Mus musculus: one gene and its partner. The protein of the gene in region 1 interacts with the protein of each later gene in a pairwise test. Links are inferred from orthologs where the notes say so. Each region holds a gene or a part of one and is shown on either strand. Other genes may lie near its edges.

The links.
Region 2: the proteins of Ndn (region 1) and Nefl interact in binary tests that used the Homo sapiens proteins (3 or more experiments, as listed by UniProt). The link is inferred for Mus musculus from reciprocal best matches to the Homo sapiens genes NDN and NEFL.

What each region holds. Positions count from the first base shown.
Region 1 is NC_000073.6:62,346,757-62,350,430, forward strand, and holds Ndn (necdin), read left to right. Parts: upstream 1-1,520; 5' UTR 1,521-1,651; coding exon 1,652-2,629; 3' UTR 2,630-3,172; downstream 3,173-3,674. UniProt on the Homo sapiens protein: Growth suppressor that facilitates the entry of the cell into cell cycle arrest.
Region 2 is NC_000080.6:68,082,270-68,086,744, reverse strand, and holds the start of Nefl (neurofilament light polypeptide), read right to left. Parts: upstream 2,883-4,475; 5' UTR 2,783-2,882; coding exon 1,736-2,782; intron 772-1,735; coding exon 647-771; intron 259-646; coding exon 1-258. UniProt on the Homo sapiens protein: Neurofilaments usually contain three intermediate filament proteins: NEFL, NEFM, and NEFH which are involved in the maintenance of neuronal caliber.

The DNA of each region.
Region 1 (3,674 bases):
ATATACAATCTGAAACTTTTTCCAGGATATGCAGGATGTCACAAGTGAAAAATTCCACATCAGAGCTCGCGGAGTAGATCACAACTGAGAGAAAGTGTTGCCTTCAAAAATGTCAATAAGAAGCAAACTAATAACACGTCTAGGCTGGAGTTTAAAACAAGTTATTGTACATGTGCAAATATTCTCAAATCTGGAAAACTCTGAATCGCTTCTTGCCATAACTATTCTGGGTAAAAGATAGCTGTTATATCTAAACAAACATATTTTAGAACCTAGGAATGCCAACATGATATCTTAAATCTGTCCGCTTTAAGTGATGAGAAGGGCTAAGGAATTCCATTATTTCAGAACAAGAAAGATGATCAAATCTAAGGACTTCTGGCTTTGGAAGCTTCAACAATGGTCATTGTATAAAGGAGAGTTTGAGGAAATATCAGCTTTAGATGACCTCTCGATCTACCTTTTTATTTTTGGACACCAATATGTTGCATCTTATTCATGAGAGACTGTTAGGTATCGAAAAGAGCTGCATTTAAAATATATTGGGAAAGATTTGGATGTGCTCCCAACATGGAATTAGTCATTTGTGAATGACATAATTTAAGAAGTAGAAGATTTCTTATAAACGCAGAAGATGCAGTGAGCAGGGCAAAAAGGTAGTGGGAAAATATGAAAAATACACTGTCATAAAATGTGTATTAATAAATATGTTGATCATTTTCCACTAGAATCTTAACGGAAGCTTTAGATGAAAACAAAGTGACCTAATAGAAATGGAGAGCCCAAATCTATAGTTATTAAAATAATTCAAAACCAACAAACTGAGCATCCAATGATGAATGAATGCATATATATATATTTTATATATCCCTCATTTTCATGTGGGGCCTGGGGGATTTAAATTCTGGTTCTCATGCTTGAACTGCAAAAGCTCTTAACCACTGAACCAAGTCTCATTTTAATTAAAATTTTAAACTCCCATCAATTATGCTATATGAATCTACTACTTCTAGAACATTCAAATCTCACATGGATTTATCTCCAGTGTCTGTAACTACACTTTACATTCTTCCTTGTTTGATCTGCATTCAGATATGTAAGAATTTATCTCTATTAATAATTTCTCAATATTCCAATCTTAAACAACTCATCATCATCATAAGGTACAGCTTTCCAAAAGAAAAAAGAAAAAAAAGTCATTTCTGTTTCTCTTATTCTTTTGTAGAAAAACCAAAATCAAGAATTAAGTCTTTCTCCAGGACCTTCACATTTAATTTGATTTTGCACAAACTCAGTGTGTCCGAACTTAACTTCACCATCTCAGCTACATCTTTCTCCTTCAACTTGTTTCTTTCCCTACCATCATCTAGTTCTGTGCCATACAGGAGACCAGGAAATCTTTTACATAAGCCTAGTGGTACCCTCCCTTAGACCCCAGTGGTTGGGCTTTGCTGCTTCGCTCCTTTCCAGCCCTACCACCCTTCTGGCTTCCCAACACGCATGCGCAATATCGCATCAGCCCCGCCCGCCCGCTGCTGCGGAAGGCGCAGTGCTCAGTAAAGCGCACTTCCTCTGCTGGTCTCCACCGAGGGAGTGCCCGCTCCAAGAGCTCCAAGCCGCATCGGTCCTGCTCTGATCCGAAGGCGCAGACATGTCGGAACAAAGTAAGGACCTGAGCGACCCTAACTTTGCAGCCGAGGTCCCCGACTGTGAGATGCAGGACAGCGATGCCGTTCCGGTGGGGATCCCTCCTCCCGCTTCTCTGGCCGCTAACCTCGCAGGGCCACCGTGCGCTCCCGAAGGCCCTATGGCAGCCCAACAGGCCTCGCCACCGCCCGAAGAACGGATAGAAGATGTTGACCCTAAAATCCTGCAGCAGGCCGCAGAGGAGGGCCGCGCCCACCAGCCCCAGAGTCCAGCCCGGCCGATCCCAGCACCGCCAGCCCCTGCCCAGCTGGTGCAGAAGGCGCACGAGCTCATGTGGTACGTGTTGGTGAAGGACCAGAAGAGGATGGTCCTCTGGTTTCCAGACATGGTGAAAGAGGTCATGGGCAGCTACAAGAAATGGTGCAGAAGCATCCTCAGGCGCACCAGCGTCATCCTCGCCAGAGTGTTCGGGCTGCACCTGAGGCTGACCAATCTCCACACCATGGAGTTTGCCCTGGTCAAAGCCCTCAGCCCAGAGGAGCTAGACAGGGTGGCGCTCAACAACCGTATGCCCATGACAGGCCTCCTGCTCATGATCCTGAGCCTCATCTATGTGAAGGGCCGCGGGGCCAGAGAGGGTGCGGTCTGGAATGTGCTGCGCATCCTGGGGCTGAGGCCCTGGAAGAAGCACTCCACCTTCGGAGACGTGAGGAAGATAATCACCGAGGAGTTCGTCCAGCAGAATTACCTGAAGTACCAGCGTGTGCCCCACATCGAGCCTCCCGAGTACGAGTTCTTCTGGGGGTCCAGAGCTAACCGTGAAATCACCAAGATGCAGATCATGGAGTTCCTGGCCAGAGTCTTCAAGAAAGATCCCCAGGCGTGGCCTTCCCGATACAGGGAGGCTCTGGAGCAGGCCAGAGCTCTGCGGGAGGCTAATCTTGCTGCCCAGGCCCCCCGCAGCAGTGTCTCTGAGGACTAAAAAGGTCCAGGGGCACACTGATAGTTTCTGACCCATACTAGGGCTGTGTAAGGGTGGGGTTGAGTCATTAGAGTATCCCAAATCCACAGTGCAGTATTTCATGTATAATTTTTAAGTTTTCCATACAGTGCTTTTGTACCTTGTAATGCTATTCATTTGTGTACTCGTGTAGTGTTTAAGATTGATGCATGTGTGATAAGTATTTGGTACTTTCACTTTTGTGCTTTCGTGCATTTTTGTACAAGAGATGTGCTGTGCTAAACTTGTGAAATACATTGAGGTGTTCTGTATCTTGTTCTTTGTATGGGACTGATGATCTGTATCGACAAAGAAGGCCCTGGAGAGTTAGCAGGACTTAACAGCAACGCAGACCTGAGCAAGAGAAAGGTCAAGGCCTTTCTCCATATGACTTCAACTGGCACAGGAAGCATCCATGTGGAATGGACTGATTTGAACTGGACTGTTCTCAGTGTAGGCACTTAGCACCCTTTACAAAACATGTATGCAACCCCACCATAAATAAACGTTAAAATGAGCATTAAAGATACTGTGAAATAATTTCTTGGGGGGGGGGAGGAGGCATTTATTTTTGATGAAAGGGGGAGTGGGAATGGGTGGGGATGAGAAAGATTCTCCCTGTGTGCAGCATAAGCAAACACGGTGTCCTAACACAGTGGGAGACCACACGACCACTCAGAAGAAACTTGCAGTGCTTTAATCAATTTGTCACATAAAAGGTATAACAACAACAACAAAAAAGCTCATTATCACATAACATGGGGATAATAACAGGTATATGGAGGGCCTGCCCCTTTTCTGTTGCATTTTTTAAAATAGTCTTTGATGGACACTTTAGCAGAATAAACCCTTATCATGCATTTTCTTCTTTATTTTGTCCTCCCACCAGCCATAAGAAGTAAGGAATAACTGTATCATCACAGAGCAAGAAAAAATAAAAGGGGTGTTGGTAATGAACTATCCTAAAACCTTTATACAGGAGTCTTGACACCAAGCTCCCCATGGCCACCACTCACACACGCACTCT
Region 2 (4,475 bases), on another chromosome or scaffold:
GCTTCTCCTTCAGAGGGGGGCTCATCCTTGGCCTCCTCAGCTTTCGTAGCCTCAATGGTCTCCTCGACCTCTGTCTGCTCTTCCTGGACGTGGCTGGTATAGTAGGCTGGGAAAGAGCGAGCAGACATCAAGTAGGAGCTGCTCTGCAAGCCACTGTAAGCAGAACGGCCGAAGACCTGCGAGCTCTGAGAGTAGCCGCTGGTTATGCTACCCACGCTGGTGAAACTGAGCCTGGTCTCTTCGCCTTCCAAGAGTTTTCTGGTGGAGAGGGAATGAAGAGTACAGTTAGAGCAAGGCTGGATGTGTTCATTGCTCTAAGCCCACATTCATTACTTTCCTCTACAACCAACCTCAAAGGCAAATACAAGAACAAATACGGTTAGGCATAATCAAAATTTAATAAGGAGTTCACGAGAGACCCCACCCAAAAAGACCTTCTATGCATCCCTATTAGGTTTAAAATATGAATGCTAAGAACAGGGCTTATGTTACTTCAGGGTTAATTCCCTACACATTTGTACCCTCTTGGAGGAAGACCAAAGTAGGACTATTCTAGAGCACGTGGGACTCACTATAACTGCACTGACTGGGTCATCTGCTCTGTCCTGAGCCGCCATGCCCACTGCCAGCACCACCCTGATGTTACCTGTAAGCTGCAATCTCGATGTCCAAGGCCATCTTGACATTGAGGAGGTCCTGGTACTCCTTCAGGTACCTGGCCATCTCGCTCTTCGTGCTTCTCAGCTCATTCTCCAGTTTGTTGATTGTGTCCTGTAGGAAGATTGTTTTAAAAAATTCAAAACACAAATCTCTACTGCATTTGTTTTACTGTAGTATCCATGATAAGTTCTGGTCTTAGTTAACTCCAAAGTGTACACCTTCCAGAAATCTCCCTTAAAATAATGGGGTGGGGTGGGGCATAGGGGGAGGGGTTGGCCTAAAATGCCCAGTCTAGTGAAGCAAGAGAAGGAGAGGAGGAAGAGGAGGGGAGTAGACTGATGTGAACAATTTTGAAAATTGTTCTCAATTGATTATGGTAAGCTGTCTTTTAAAACTACCAAATTGATGATGATATTATTATTATTATTAACCACCCTTGTCACATTTCTTTTAGCCAGGTCGCATTTGGGAAGGGGAATATATATATAGTGTGTGTGTGTTTGTCTAAATAAATATATAAATAAAAATTAAATTATATATATTTGTGTAGCTGTTTGTCTAAAATGCTTCCCCCCGCCAAAGATGAAGAACTTTTTTTTTAATGGACTGCAGTGATTAATTGCTAAAATATTGTGACTGTATTCTTGTGTCCCTATTAAAAAAAAAAACTATCCCAAGGCTGGGTGGCCCAAAACTAGTGAGAGCTAGCAGGCATATTTATTAACCAGGAGATCCAGGAAGTACTGAGGGTAACTTGGGAGTTAAGGGTTGTCAGTAAAGAGAAGGCATTACTTGGCAACGCCCAACTCCGACTCCCTCCGCCCCTTCCTCCCAACTCACCCCTAACAACCCTGATTCAACCAGAACAAGCAATCCCCAGGCAGCAGTCGCGCCCCGCCCCCTCCAAATGCCCCATCCTTTCCACAACCTCTCGGAAGCCAAGCCCTCTGATAGCTGCTCTGTGCTCTAGAACCCCCTAGCGTTCACTCTCTGGGTACACCCTGACTCCCCCCCCCCCCGCCGCCGCCCCTACCGTGGACCTCCCCACCCCCACTGAGCTTAAACCGTACTATACCTGCATGGCGCTAATGTCTGCATTCTGCTTGTCCTCTAGCTCCTGCAGCTGCTTCTCCAGAGCTTCGTTCATACCCCGGCAGGCTTCGATCTCCAGGGTCTTAGCCTTGAGCAGGCGGCGGCTTTCCGACACCTCGTCCTTGGCAGCGCGCACAGCGTCGGTGTTCTTGGCGGCGCTCTCGGTTAGCACGGTGAAGCGGCTCTTGAACCACTCTTCGGCGTTCTGCATGTTCTTGGCGGCCAGCTTCTCGTACTGAGCGCGGATGTCCTTGAGAGCGGCGGAGAGGTCGGGCTTGGAGGACACGTCCATCTCCACGGAGATCTGAGCATACTGGATCTGAGCCTGCAGCTCGGCGATCTCTTCCTCGTGCACCTTCTTCAGGAAAGCTATCTCGTCCATCAGGCTGTCGATGCGCTTCTCCAGCTCGGCGCGGGCGAGCGCGGCCTCATCCGCACCTTTGCGCGCTTCCATCAGCCGGCCCTCGGCGTCCTCGCGGCTCAGCACTTCTTCCTCATAGCGAGCCTGCAGGTTGCGCAGAGTCTCCTCCAGCCCCTCGCGCTCGCCCTGCAGCGCCTGCTTCTCGTTAGTGGCGTCTTCCGCTGCCAGCCGCAGATCGCGGATCTCCTGCTCGTACAGGGCGCGGAAGCGGGAAGGCTCAGAGTGTTTCTGGCGCAGCACCAACAGCTCGGCTTCCAGGACCTTGTTCTGCTGCTCCAGCTCGTGCACGCGCTCGATGAAGCTGGCGAAGCGATCGTTGAGGTCCTGCAGCTGTGCCTTCTCTTGTGTGCGGATAGACTTGAGGTCGTTGCTGATGGCGGCTACCTGGCTCAGATCGAGATTCTCCAGGCTGGGCATCAAAGAGCCAGAGCTGGACGAGTAGCTGCGGCGCACGGACAGCGAGGAGGAGACCGGCGCGGAGTAGCTGGAGTACGCGGAGCGCGCCGTGCTGTAGCCGCTGCGCACGCTGGAGATGTGCACCCGGGGCGTCTCCACATAGCGCCGCTTGTAGGAGGTCGAAAAGTACGGATCGTAGCCGAACGAACTCATGGTGGCGGCCGGTGCGCCCCTCAGGCCCGGGGCGGAGATGGGGGACCTAGAGAGAAGAACGGGGGAGAAGAGGGAAAGGGGAGGATGGATGGCTGTGTGCGGCTCGGCGCGGTCCTGCCACCTCTATTTATACGCCGGGACTCTGACGCAGACTGTGATCGATCGCCGTGCGCAGGCCAGTGGGGGCAGCGCGTTGCTGCAGCCAAGGGGAGGATTCTGCGCAAAAGCAAAGGCGGGGGCGAACGACAGAAGGCTAGCGAGCTGCGGCTCCAGCCTGGCCGCTTTTCTATGAGGACCCCTACTTTCTCTGAGACCCCCATAACTTCCCTGCTTATTCTTTTCCTTTCCTATTCCCCCGTCCCATCCTGCCTCTTAATACCTAAAGCCCACATCACTAGGACTCTTAAATGTTCCAAATAAAAAGGTTCGCGATCCCTACTGACACATCAACTTTTAACATCCAATGTCACAAAGACACCTTCACCCCACCCCACCCCACCCCACCCCACTCCCAGCTTTCCCTTTTTGCCTCAGGGACCCTCTCAAGCACCCTGATTCGTGTTTAAGCAGCACGTTTGGGTTGCTGACAATAGCTAATGTTCTTGCGGCATTACTGCAGGAAAAGTTTTGCATGTCTTTGTAGCTATTTTCTGACGTTTTCTTAAATTCGCCCCACTTTCTCCTGCCTCCTTTTATTTTTATTTCTATTTCTTTCCGTATTACTCTTCTTCTCAATACATAGGGAAATTGCACCACTACACACCATTGGAACCGCAGGACAGCGGGTGTTCATTTTGGCATTTTAAAACCTTTACAGCAGTTAATTTGTCTGACACCTTTCATAGAATTTCCCCTTTCTTTGTGAGAAATGTAGTCGGGAATGCTTAGGAGGGGTTGGAACCAGCCAGGTAAAGATTTGCAAGGCAAAAGACGGGCGCGCTCGGCCGCGGGAGAACTTCAGGGTGCCTTTATCCTCACTGAGCTATTCATACTTCCAACGCCTCAAAAGCCTCTTCTCCTCTTTTTAACACCTGTGTGGTACCCCAACCTGATGGTTTCAACAAGCCATGAAGGTAGATGGGGAGAGAGAGAGAGAGAGAGAGAGAGAGAGAGAGAGAGAGAGAGAGACTGCTGCAAAGGGCTACCCGCTCTGGGTGTGGTCTTCAGGAAGAGAACGCTGCATGGAGCCTGCTGAAATTCACAGATAATAGATACACTTAGGAACCTATGGGCTTCCTTCAGGGAGCACCCAGATACCAGAGTGGGCACGCCAAACGCACGTGGGTGCAACATTTTCATACTCGCGTTGTGAGCGCCTGCAGTTCCGAAGAGATACTGCAGATTTGTAAGAAATAACTAAAACCTTTAAGCAAGCATTTGGCGTTTTGTTTAATTTGTTCAATGTATCGCTGGCTTGCTGATTCCTTTAAATGGCACAGTGGGAGGTTACCGTTTTCAAGTAAAAAGTAGTGAAATTTTTGGAGTTGTACTCGGTCGCTTCTGGAGACCAAACAGAGGATGAAGGGAGCTTAATTCTGTATATTCCTTTCTCGTGTTACACATACTGTGATTCTGATAACTCGCCCCTTCAAAGAAGAAAACTGGGCTGAAGCAGAAGACTTCTGTAAGGTTGCTGGTGGCTTAAAGCTGTTAAGTCTAAGCCATATTAGAAGCCCACCCGTGTTTACACAAT